Arabidopsis thaliana: one gene and its partner. The protein of the gene in region 2 interacts with the protein of the main gene of each other region in a pairwise test. Each region holds a gene or a part of one and is shown on either strand. Other genes may lie near its edges. The genes, in order: NHX1 and AT4G27585.

The links.
Region 1: the proteins of AT4G27585 (region 2) and NHX1 interact in a protein complementation assay, tested with the Arabidopsis thaliana proteins (one large-scale study listed by BioGRID).

What each region holds. Positions count from the first base shown.
Region 1 is NC_003076.8:9,551,359-9,558,199, reverse strand, and holds NHX1 (Na+/H+ exchanger 1), read right to left. Parts: upstream 4,901-6,841; 5' UTR 4,433-4,900; intron 4,090-4,432; 5' UTR 3,950-4,089; coding exon 3,785-3,949; intron 3,713-3,784; coding exon 3,594-3,712; intron 3,173-3,593; coding exon 3,075-3,172; intron 2,964-3,074; coding exon 2,904-2,963; intron 2,817-2,903; coding exon 2,770-2,816; intron 2,678-2,769; coding exon 2,483-2,677; intron 2,394-2,482; coding exon 2,347-2,393; intron 2,257-2,346; coding exon 2,190-2,256; intron 2,104-2,189; coding exon 2,003-2,103; intron 1,914-2,002; coding exon 1,673-1,913; intron 1,585-1,672; coding exon 1,522-1,584; intron 1,441-1,521; coding exon 1,357-1,440; intron 1,264-1,356; coding exon 934-1,263; 3' UTR 606-933; downstream 1-605. UniProt on the Arabidopsis thaliana protein: Acts in low affinity electroneutral exchange of protons for cations such as Na(+) or K(+) across membranes. Can also exchange Li(+) and Cs(+) with a lower affinity.
Region 2 is NC_003075.7:13,766,017-13,772,000, forward strand, and holds AT4G27585 (SPFH/Band 7/PHB domain-containing membrane-associated protein family), read right to left. Parts: upstream 3,946-5,984; 5' UTR 3,817-3,945; coding exon 3,662-3,816; intron 3,412-3,661; coding exon 3,168-3,411; intron 3,048-3,167; coding exon 2,898-3,047; intron 2,494-2,897; coding exon 2,436-2,493; intron 2,358-2,435; coding exon 2,265-2,357; intron 2,083-2,264; coding exon 1,984-2,082; intron 1,762-1,983; coding exon 1,670-1,761; intron 1,408-1,669; coding exon 1,348-1,407; intron 1,253-1,347; coding exon 968-1,252; 3' UTR 683-967; downstream 1-682. Other genes in the region: AT4G27580 (phosphatidylinositol transfer SFH5-like protein), read right to left, coding at 1-10, 171-290; AT4G27590 (Heavy metal transport/detoxification superfamily protein), read left to right, coding at 5,208-5,331, 5,428-5,747, 5,927-5,973.

The DNA of each region.
Region 1 (6,841 bases), on a different chromosome or scaffold from region 2:
TGCAGCCATTTTTTGAAATAAATCTTGTAGTTGAGACTTATTTACAATGGCTGCCACTGAATTTTAATGTTTGTTTTTGATAATTAAAAAGAAAATCTTCGAATTAAATATTTGACATTTAACAATCTTCCCAAAATCTCTCCACATTAACTACACGATTATTTACTAAAATAATACTTCTAAAATATTTAATATCATTTAATTACTACAAAATTATCATTTTTGATATTGCTTTTCTCCATAACTATAACAATTCGATTATAATCATCAAAGCGAAGAGATATAATCTGATAGCATTTAATTACTACAAAATTACAAAATATTTAGACAATGATTCATAAACATATCATAAATAAGATCAACATTAATAAAATAAATGGTTTTCTTTTTTACAGGACGGGTTTGGCAGGATGTTACTTAATAACATTTGTAAACTATAAAATAAAATTATTTTATAAATAGATACAATTTGTAAACTTTTATATATACTAACTTTAAAAAATAAATTGTTCCCGCGGTATACCGCGGGTTAAAATCTAGTTAGATTATAAGTTTCAAGACCTACCAAATTTTGATATCATTAGCCATTAGGTTCACTAAATTTTTGTTTTGACATAAAGAAATAATTCTTTATTAATATTTTTGTCCGAAATCGAACCAAACCGTACCAATCCGATCCTCAAGTTCGAAGCAAAAACCAAATTCAAAACATAAACAAATGTGTAGTTTGTGTTACAACAAAACAAATATGAATATAATTACATACATCAATCAAACACTTCAAAGTTGCCATGTTTTGCTTTCTGCTCTCAAAACGTTAGGACAGATTTCTGTCCTCACAAACAATATTACAAATGGATAATTTACACAAAAGCATAATTTGAATCACCCTTTTCTACCAAAAAAAATCAAAGCTTTTCTTCCACGTTACCCTCAAGCCTTACTAAGATCAGGAGGGTTTCTCTCAGTTGGAGAACCTGGAACAAAGGGTACAAAGCCACGACCTCCAAAGACGGGTCGCATGAAGGAGTCATCAAATTGTCTCCAGTAGTAATGCACGGTTCGAGTGGGCCGTGTCAAGAAGCCACGTATACTGTCAGGCCGAGGCACATTGTGGTTCCCTGAAGGCTCAATGAACGAGTCTTGGTCCAACAAAGGGATATGTATGGATTTTGGGGTGTTGTCATCAGATAACATGCTCGTGGTGGCGTTCTGGTGCGGTAATAGGTAGCTTATGAGTGGTTTGGTCAGCATACCAAACACCTGAAAACAAGGTTCAAGAGAATCTATTAACCAAATGTCCAATTCAATTAAGAAATATTATGTAACTCATTTGATCATCCAGAGATTTCTTACCACTGTGCTAAAAAGACAGACAGTTATCGTACTCGTGATCATGATTGCATTCCCGCGTACATCTGTGTGCCCGGCCCTTGTAAACTACAATAGAAACAAGTGTTAAATGATGATTTGTGTCATTTGAAGCTTCATAGAGAGTATTTAAAGACATTCTTTTTATACCTTGTTGTATGCAAGAGCCATAGATACAGCACCTCTCATGAGACCAGACCACCAAATCACAACCTAAAGAATGGGAAAAAATGATAGATATAAATAGCTGAAATCCAGAAGAATTATTGAATCTATTAGTACCAAGTAGAATGATACATACCTGCATGTTAAAGTTGATTTTCTCGCTTTGATTCTTCTTGGCTAAGTTAGATAGAAACGATAACGGAAAGACGAACGCTGCTCTTCCAACCATGACCAGACCCATTAGGATTGAGCTCACTGCGATCGATGTTCCCGGTGTGTCACTCACGGATCTCCACTTGTCAATGTCCAAGGCATCCATTCCAACATACAAGAAAATAAATGTCTCCGCAAGAAATGACAAAGTTGCAAAGGTATGCCTGTTTCATCGAAAAAAATCATAAGATAATCATTGGGAGGTAGAAAGTGTTAATCTCAGCAAAAGGCGGAGAAACTAAAGTTTGCATACTTTGTTGTTATTCTTGAGCTCTCCGTTACATTGTGCCATGTGTAATGGGACATCACAATACCACAGAAAAACACAGTGAGGATACCGCTCAAGTCGAAAAGCTGCAACCAAATTAATATAACATCAATATAATTTGTGTTTGAATGCAACTGAATGAATATGTTCGTGTTATTTAAAAGAATCTAACCTCAGCAAGCATATAAGAAAGATACGCCATAAGCATCATAAGGGCAACCTCTCGGTCAGTTGAGTGCCTGTGACAATTAATGTGAGGCCATCTACGTTAGACCAAACAGGAAACAACTTAAAGAAAACAAGTCACATATATGACGTTAAATATGTACCTTCCAAAGTATAGCTTCTTGATAACATACGCACTTATCAGACCGGTCTGCAAGATGAATAACAAAGATGTGAACACCAGAGCGTGCATATAGCAGCTACAAGAAAGAATGGCAGGGAAGAAAACAATGGACTTACTGCAGCACCAAGCAAGGTACTTAGGAGAAACAAATACAAGAAGTTTCCAAGAAGATGAAAAGCAGCTTCGTGGTTTAGGTGAGTGAGATCAAAGCTCTGAATCGCGTTGAAGACCACAACTGACGTTGCATCATTCACAACACCCTCTCCGAATACAAGACTGTAAAGCAAAGGTGTCTCGTCTTGATTCAGAACCTATATCACAACACAACAGGAACAGAAACTTTCGGTCCACTATGTTTCAGGGTTTGTAAGTAATTTAAGTCATGTTGGAGAAAACACATTACCTGCAGTGTACATACTGAATCTGTTGCAGCAAATATGGCACCAATAGCTGAGATTCAAACACCAAAAACAAATCAAGTCTCCCGATTAAGTAAAGCAATAGGAACCAAAAAGAAGCCATTAGTTCAGGCCTTACCAAGATAATCACCCAAGTCAAAGGTTCCAATGTCCAACTTCTTAAAGAACTGTGTTACACCTGTTTCAAGAACCACCAGAAAATCAGTAGAGATATACAAAACTATCTCGACCTAATCCAAAAAGCCGCATTCAGCGGTGTTTCAGCCAATCGTAAAGCGAAGTAACCTACCTAGAGATATGATTGTGCAAGAAATAATAGTCCCAACAGCACCAAAAAGCATAATAGTCACGAAATTGCGGAAAAACTGCTTCTTTTTTACTTGAAACCTGAAATAGACAACAACAAATCTGAGAAAGATCCATGACAAAGACAAATCCAGGACCACACTTACTTGCACGTGTATAAATCTAACTACTTCAAAAAAAGACATCATGCCCTCTTTTCTTTATAACAATCACAAGTACTAGAAAAAGTTGATGTATGACAGGTATTTATAGAAGTAGAGCTTAAGCTTACTAATCAACATCTTTAAAGCGTTGTACTAACTTTATCACCTAGAATCACATAATGCATACTTTTCAAAACTAAGTTTTTTCTTTCAATCTGTTTTATGTAACTTTTGTAGGTAAAACCCGTGCAACTAAACGTATCATATAGCATGAGACCCTACCAAACTAAGTCCTACATTAAAAGATATATCCCAACATAGAGGAAAAGGCTCAAATGGATGTAAAAAAAAAGACTGACCCTGCATTGAATATAATGGGTGGCAAAAGATATATGAAGAAAAGATCTTCACTAAAGACGAGAAGATGCGAGCTTTTTCCTTTACTAATCAACAAAATGGTAACACCAGTGCCTAGCCCCTGCAACCAAATAGCTCAAATGTCATTCAAGTTGGAACTCAGTAATTACTCTTTTCAATTGAGTGAACTTACAATCAACAAGGCGGTGATGGATTCGTTCATCCATCTATTCTCTTCCAAAAGATGACCAAGAACAATACAAGCACAAAGAAGTGCAACAAAGAGATTCAACGCAACCACAGAAGCGTGATCAGATGTCGATAACGAAGGCAGTTTCGACACTAGAGAATCCAACATTGTTATCTTCTTCTAGATCCAACAAACTTCCTCTTTCCAGATTTGATCCAAGAACATGAACAACTATTCAGATTTTGGATCAGCAAAATCTGGAAAAAAAAGTCTCTTTTATCTTTCCGTGCTGTCCACTGAAACCATTCCTGTTTTCAAGAAAACAGAGCTGAGACTAAACAGTGAAGCTGTGTAATGTATAGCATGAATCAGCTTTGACTATAAAAAACACACAAAAAGTGAATCCAAATCTGAGACTTTTGATACAAACAACAAAAAGCACAAATCCCACAAAAGGCTAATATTATTAAATGATGACAACATAAAACCAAATTCTCAAAATTTCCTATTTTTGGTAATAGCACAATATGAAATTAGGTCGGAACTTTAATAACCCAGATTTCAAATATCTCCCAACAACAAACAACAAACACAAAAACTTCAAATGAAAAAAAAAAAAAAAATTGGTGGATCTGATCTGAATTGCTTTACCTTGAACAACTTCTGGGTAATCTAAATATCTTCAGTCTGATTTACAAAAGAGCCCAGAAGATCAAAATTCAAAATTTTGGAAGCTTCGAAAGCTAAAACCTGAGATTCTTCTTCTTCTTCGTCTACGAGGAACGAAACAGAGAGGCGAATTCGAAAATTGAAGGAATTGGGGAAGAAAAAAAAGGAGAAAATTACGGGACTGAGGAAATTATACGAAATTTCGATTTTTTACTGGAAATAGAGAGAGACGTGTACGGTCCCTTTTTAAGAGAGAGGGAGATAGAGAAGAGAGAAGATTCCAATTTCTAAACACAGTAGAGAGAGAAATATAAGTTACGAATAGGAGAGAGATAGAGTGTATGTATTATTCTCTGTTGTGTAAATGAAAGTACAAATGGCGAATTTATAGCCGTTGATTTAAAGTTACTATCTGAGATCTGAACAGTTTAGTGTTTGGATTTATTGTGGAACTTATCGTAGACGATAAAACCTGACTGTACTAAGATTCATGATTTATCTATTTGATTTGTCGAGTACTTTTGGTTTTGAAGACAACAAGTTTTTTTTGGGTCACCGTTTTATTTATTTTTTTGGAATTTTCTTCACCTTGATGCTGAACTTTTTTAAAATTCATAAAAAACCTAAATACATAGTGAAACTCTGATGCAGTAAAAGAAAATATTATATGGATGAATTTGTGTAGACGAAATTATTTATAAAAAAAAAGCGTTAATGGCAAACTCAATGAACCAAAACAAAAAAAAACAAAATTTTATCATGATTTCACCTTTATTTTTGGTATCATTTCTTCTAATTTTATTAGAGATATACATTTTAGGATATATATATATATATATATATATATATGAAAATGGCAATGAATTTTTTTATACAAGGTTACTATTTTCCTTATCCTTTATCAAAAAAGGTTAATTTCTCATAAGATAAATTAGGTTATAGGGATCAAAATCTCACAGAAAGCAACAATGATTTAAACTTGACCAAGCGTTGTTACCTCAATTGGTAAAGATCCTAGGCGAAACTTAGAGGTCGTTAGTTCGAGTGATGTTTGGGACGAAACTAATATTACATGTTGTGGTTTCAGGCCTGAAGGGATTACGGGTTTCGGCCCAGAACCTCCTGATATTCCGAAAAAAAAAAAAAAAAAAAAAAAAACTTAAATATAAAACTATATTTCATTCTATTAATTGTTAATTAGTTTAGATAATAACAACTCATGAAATCATTAGATTAGTGCCGGTCTGCCGGATATGCTCCTAGCTAAGTCTATGTCATAACATATAGAATCGACTAGTTAATTATCGTGGTTCTACCATTTATAGTTTACCAGATCATACTGTATGCTTGAAAATTGATAATCTTTCGGAAATGAATTTGTTTTGAATATTCTCAAAAACGTGTTCATCTTAGTACCATATCTTTTTGTCATCAAAATGGTTACGGATCTTCTAGCGTTTAATCACCCTATTTGTTTTTTTGTAATATCATTGTTTTTGTTTTTGTCAACAACAAATATTAACATGTGAATTTATATTTTAGTAATAATATAATAACTATATTAGCAAAAACTATTACCCTACATATTTTGGTATTTTGTAATGTTGTTATTTTATTATTAAAAAATGTTTTTATTTTATTAAAATTTGAGAAGGATCAATTATTGAGTTATTGTTTATTCAATCTACGTGAGGATCTGAATCTAATTAATCATACAAACTCCAAAGTCTGTCCACGTCGTAGAAATTGTTTTAAAAAGCCCATCAAAATCTTTACAAAATAAAAAGTTTCGTTAAAATTGGATTACTATTTCAACATACAAAGTTTTCAAGTATTTAACGTGCAATTTAGTGCCAACCAAGAAAGATAATCTATTATTCTATTACATAGAAAAAGGATAATATTAACATATTTTACATACCGCCGACGAGACTCATAATTTAGATAAATGTTGTTATGTAATTGTTCTTACAAACAAATTGTTTTTATTATCACGGTTATGAAAATTAAATAAATTGTCTCATGGCTTTTCAAATATTTAAAAGGTCATGTCAAATAAAGTAGGGCCAAATTTCATATAGAGCTATCCACTTATTTTGGAATTAAAGATTAGGTACAAAAATGCATCACCTACAATCTACGGATCCAAATTATATATCATCACGATTCCCAAATTTACCTATTCACGACAATATAGTTGTTCTAACTATAGTTATATATATCTATATATATATATATATATGTATTTTGTAAGTAAAAATAATATGATTATTTCTAAATTTTCGAGGAAAAAAACGAGGCCATGTCGGAATGACAAAAAAATACTTTTAACGTTTACTAATTTTTAATTAGGAAATTATTGTTCATTGGTAACTCTTTTCCTTATAGAGT
Region 2 (5,984 bases):
CCTTCTTCTCCTTTAATCAACAATCAGCAACAATAGTTTTAACTTAATATGAGTTTGTTCAATCAAGAATTTGTAGTAAATTCTGTTTAATTGGTAAATTTCATGTTATTCAATTCAAGAATCTTTAAGATCATCTACTAAATTATTTAGAAAGAATATATTGGACTCACCTGAGTTAATGTGGCATCTGTCTCGGTCGCGGCATTCTTGGACTCAACAACAGCATTTTCGGTCGAGACAGAGCCTTCGACGATGTCAGATTCCTTAGGTTTGCTCGCACAGGCTCCCATGGTTTTTGGATTGAAAGGATTAGTTTGGAAAACAAAACTTACAATGGGAAGAGCTGTGGAGCAAAAAAAGAAAGAAAGAAAAGGAGAACTCCTCTAGACAAAGCTGACTTTGAAGAGGCCAAAACTCTTTAATTTTATAACCGGAGGCTGAGCAAATGGAGGAGAGGGCTGTGAACAGATTCATACAGGAATCGTATGGACTAAAGCTATTTCAGGTAAAGTTTTGGTTAATTTCAGAATCACAAGTCATTACACCTTTGATTCTCTGTGAGGACCTATTTATCCGGAGGACAACTTTTATCTCCACCATTCTTCTATATCCTGTTTAGGGGGCAATGGCTTCTTTTCTGCTGGCAAATTCTGACATCTCATGGATTCACAAGCTCCTCCTGGTTAGATTGCAATACTCTGCAACCGAACCGAATAATAACGGGTACAGGTAATAAGCAATGCAATGGGAATAAAGGTGAATAAGAACACAAGGACCATGTTCATAACAAATCCAGTAGGAAAATTCTTATCGGAGAACAGATGTTCAGATTCGTTTCTATATGCAAAGTGATGATATTCTAGCTATTCAAACGGAAAAGATGGTTACTGCCTCATATTTGAAAGATGAAAAATGGTTTCCAGTTTTCTCAAGCCCAAAGAATTTATCTCATCCCCGGTTCGGCTGCCTACTGCGGATCCTTGTTGCGGTTCTGAAGAGAAAATCGTGGTTCACCGGTGTGACCTGGTTTCTCTGTGTCAAATGATATTGAGCCTGATCGGTTATTAGAGCCTTCTGATATATGTTTCTCACCCATGTCTTCCAACTCTTCCAAATCTGTTTCATCAAGTGCTTGTGTTTCTTGGTGATCTTTGCTTGGACCATTGATGACAAGGCTTTTGTACATTGTTAAAGCTTGAGCAATCATGCTAGCAGGATTTGAAGCACCACTTGGAAGCAACATTATCGTACCCTAAACCCCAAAAAAAAACAAAAAACATGAACATTACATAAGCCCGAGCTATGCCAAGAGACTGGAAGAGATTACAGTAATTGATTTGTTTTTACCTCCTTGGCAATGTTACCGAAGGCTGTAATGTATTGCTCTGCAACTCTCAAACTCGCCGCCTGCAAATTTTACAGTGACACCGTATGAGATCATATTTTGGACAGAAAAAGTTAAGAAACCTAAACACAGCAATAATAGTGATATGACTTAAAATTCCAAAAGTTGGAAAGTTCAAGAAGACACAGAACCCTTTATCCAAAGAGAATAAAGACGTACACATTTAGCAATTTGTGTAAATACTATGAAGAATTAATTAATCAAAGCTAGTTAGTTAAATCAAAACTATGAATACCAATATTCTGCTTGATCTCAATTACTCACCTCTACTCCCCCAGTTTCCTTGAGGGACTGAGATAACAAGACCAGGCCTTTCGCAGTTGCTTGTGCTCTAGCTAGTATTGCTTCTGCCTCACCTGTAGAACATCATCAAGGATAATATAAGAAAAAACCAGTGGGAGATAGCAACCATATTGTGCATTAGCAGTAACGAAAATAGTTCCTCATGCACCAAGCATTCATCAGTGTACAGTGGAAAAATAAGCAAATGAAAACTAACTTTTTCTTCTAGTGAAACTAACTAACAATGGACATAACATGCAACTCTGATGTGTTCTCGATCTTAATGGCTCACTAACCTTGTGCTCGATTCACCTGGTCCATCTTTGCTGCTTCAGATGCCAAGATTACAGAACTTTTCTTACCATCAGCAATGTTGATATGGGATTGCCTTTCTCCTGTCAAATTTAGTAAAGCAATGATTAGAAACATGCTAAGCAGGCCTCTTCTTTTCCAAATGCAAAAAACGAAACTCAAAAGGAATAACAGATAGATTTTAGCCAAGAATAACATTATGAGCCGTAGCAAGCACTGCTCAGTCTCGAAGATGAGTTCTCAAAGACAAGTCAGTCAAGGTTACCTTCAGACTCAAGAATCTGGGCTCTCTTTTTACGCTCAGCTTCAGCTTGCATTTCCATAGCAGCTCGCACTCCATGAGGGGGCATAATATCCCCTGGAAAAACATGAATTAGAAATAGGAAAAAACAGATATGTAACTATCACCGGAAAAGAAAAAACACGAACAACTTACTTATCTCATAACGAAGGCACTGAAGACCCCAGTCTTTTGCAGCAACATTGATGGCTTCCTGCAAGAATATATATACATCTCAAAAATCCATCATATATTTTCTTCTTCAATGGATATACTTCCTCTAACCATCATGTCTCCTTATGATTTGAAAAAGAGACGCAAATAAGTTCGGATATCCAACAAATACAACATGACTAAATCCCCCAGCTGAATCTAAATTCCATATACCCAACTTGTGGTATACAAACACACTGCCAGATGTGACTAATTTTTCCAACTAAACAGCTCAAGCCGCAATGCTCAGTAGGGAGTAACACCAACAGCAATATTCAAGCTAACGTGACTTGACTTTGAAATTGATCAACTTAGCGGATTCTAAATTCTTTGAAATGCACAGGAGCTTAAGTACGGTGAGTCCTAACACTTCAAAACAGAGATAAAGAAGGCTGGAGAACAAACCACTATCTTCTCGTTGAGAGTGTCTCGTTCCTCAAAGGTCTTATCAAGAGTGATCTTACCAAGCTCACTACGCATTGTGGTCTGAGCCAGCTGTACAACAGCATAGATAGGACTCTCAACGCCATAAGAAGCTAACTTAGGATCCACAATCTGCAAAAAAAAATTCCCAGATCAACAAGAAGAAATCAGTAAAGAATCACAAAAGTAAGAACTCAAAACAAAAAAAAAAAAACAAGAGGAAAATGGATTGGTGAAAGAAAAGAAGATGACCTTAACGTAGAGAACACCATCGATGTGGATACTAACGTTGTCTTTAGTAATCGCAGTCTGATTCGGAATCGGGATAGCTTCTTCCTTGAGAGAATGAACATAAGCAATACGATCCACGAACGGAATGAGGAAATGAATCCCCGACGGCAACGTCGTAGCGTATTTACCGAATCGCTCAATCACAAACGCCTTCCTCTCCGGAACTATCCGGATTCCCCAATTCGTCGGCGGCGTCAATTGAAAACTACAACGAACATCCATAAATCAATCCTAAGGTTCTCTACTCTAATCTAAAACCAAATGCTTCAAAAACGAAATCGTAAGGTGAGAAACATAAATGATTCAAAAATCAATCCTAAGGTTCTCTACTCTACTCTAATCTAAAACCAAATCGTCAATTGAAAACTACAACGAACATCCATAAATCAATCCTAAGGTTCTCTACTCTAATCTAAAACCAAATGCTTCAAAAACGAAATCGTAAGGTGAAAAACCTGTTGGAAGGATAGCCGGCGGAAGTGAACTGGCGAACGGTTGAAGCGGCGGCGGAGAAAATCGGAGGTGGAGAGGTAACGGCAGATTGACGGAGGTACGAAACGGACCTCAAGGCGGAGTAACCGACGGAGCTTTTACGAACGAGGTGGTTCATCTTCGTGGGAGAATCAGAAAAATGATATGTGAAGAAGGAAAAACCCCAAAACAAAACCTCTTATAATGCGTAGTCAATATTCAGGTACTGTTTCTTCGCCGGATCACGAAGATTTCACGCAATATGCGTGGAGAGGAGGCAAATATTTTATTGGGCTTTAGTGGATAGTTTGGTACCTGCTGTTATTATTGGGCTTATCTCTAGCCCATTCAGACGCCTGAAATATCCATCTGTTATTAATTTATTATTCATTGTTTTGGTTGTTATTTTAAAGAGTTTTTTTTAGTTGAATCCAAAATTCATTGTGAATCGAGAAATTGCAAGAAAATAATGGCTCCGATTGGTAACCACTTTTGAGGAAAACAATGAATAGGAAAGTCGTGTTCCTTTTTGTTCCTCGGTATTTTTTACCATTTGCAAGGAATTTTTGATCCATTTTCAGACAGGTGGATCCTACATTTTTCCTCATCATTCCTCAAAAAAAAAGAATGATAGAACAAAATTGTTCCTCCCCAAAATTCCTATTGTTCATTTCTTTGGTCACCAATCGGAGCCAATATAAAAAATTTGGGTAATGGTTTCTTTTAGTTTCTAAAAATCATGTAATGATGTGAGTGAATTATAATGAATATTTATATTGTAAGGAATAAAATACATATTTTATTTCAAGAAAATAAACTTATATCATGAAATTTTGATAGTTGTAGATAGTCATTAATTCATTATTATACGACGTTTTGGATATTGAAAAATTTAGACATTACAAAAGCCATGAAGGGGTGTTAAACTTTACTATAATGGAAAAAAGCGGTTTAAAATTCAGAATGCATGGAAAAAACAAGTCTAATGGGTTTCACATGGTGAAGAACTGTGTGTGAGTCATCAAAGATCCGGCGCCGTTCCCTTTTAGATATACCGACGTCAAGAAATAAAATGGCAACAATTAAAAGCTTCGTAATGACGAAGCGCATTTCACCTTTCAAAAGTGTCTTCTCTTTCTTTTGTCTAATCTTTTCTAAGAAAATAATTTCTATCTTTTGCTTAGATTTCAAAAGATTCAATCCAAGTTTTCTTTTGGTGGGATAAAGTAAAAGATGAACATGTAACATGGGATCCAAAGTCTAAAGAAGGTTATATTTTGTGAACTATATCTAACAAAGAGAATAGTGGTGACACACTTTACACTAAATCCAAGTCACTAGATCCTAAAAAGCTTATAACATGACGACTTCAACAACATGCACCTCATCTCTTCTGCATGAAACCCAATCACTGTCGTCAATATATATATGCACACACCTAAGTTCGTGTATCTCTACTATATATAAAGGTAAGTGTGCATAGTTTGAGTTAGAAATTGGAATTCGACCAAAATACATAGTTAAAGTATAATGGGTGATCTTCAAATCGTGCCGGTGTACAACAAGGTGGAAGCACAGTACGTAGAAATGATGGTGCCTTTGTATTCTTACGGTTGCGAGAAGAAAGTCAAGAGGGCTCTTTCTCATCTCAAAGGTACGTAATCAATAGTTTTAATGGTTATGATATCATAGACGACTATGCATAAATAATTAATAAGCTTATTATATTTTCTTTATAACGAATAATCAGGAATATATTCAGTGAAAGTAGACTACTACAATCAGAAGGTGACGGTGTGGGGGATTTGTAACAAACTCGATGTGTTAGCGATGGTGAAAAAGAAGCGAAAAGAAGCTCGGTTTTGGAATGTAGAGGAAGAGGAGAATAATAATCCAGAGAGCGTTGATGATTGCATTGTCGTAAAAGAAGACACTATTATTAAAACTTCATTTGATACCGATAAATCATCGGCGTTTTATACGTATTCTACAACGCCTCCGAGATTCAGTATAAGACCTCCTATGTCACTTATTAGAACCTCTTCATTCACATGGAAAGCCGTGAAGAAGGTCTTCACTAGATCCCTTTCCTTTTGAATCACGTCTATATATGACTCTACTAAGTTTCTAATAAAGCTCCAAGAAATCACGTACGTAACTTTCATTGGATCTCTTAATATATACATAAATACCAAAGTTTCTATATAGTTGATAAGGTTTGCATCTCGCAACGGATTGATGGTACGTAGTTCAATGGTCACCGCATTGTTCGTAAAATCTTTCTTGGGACACATATGTAATTCAGTT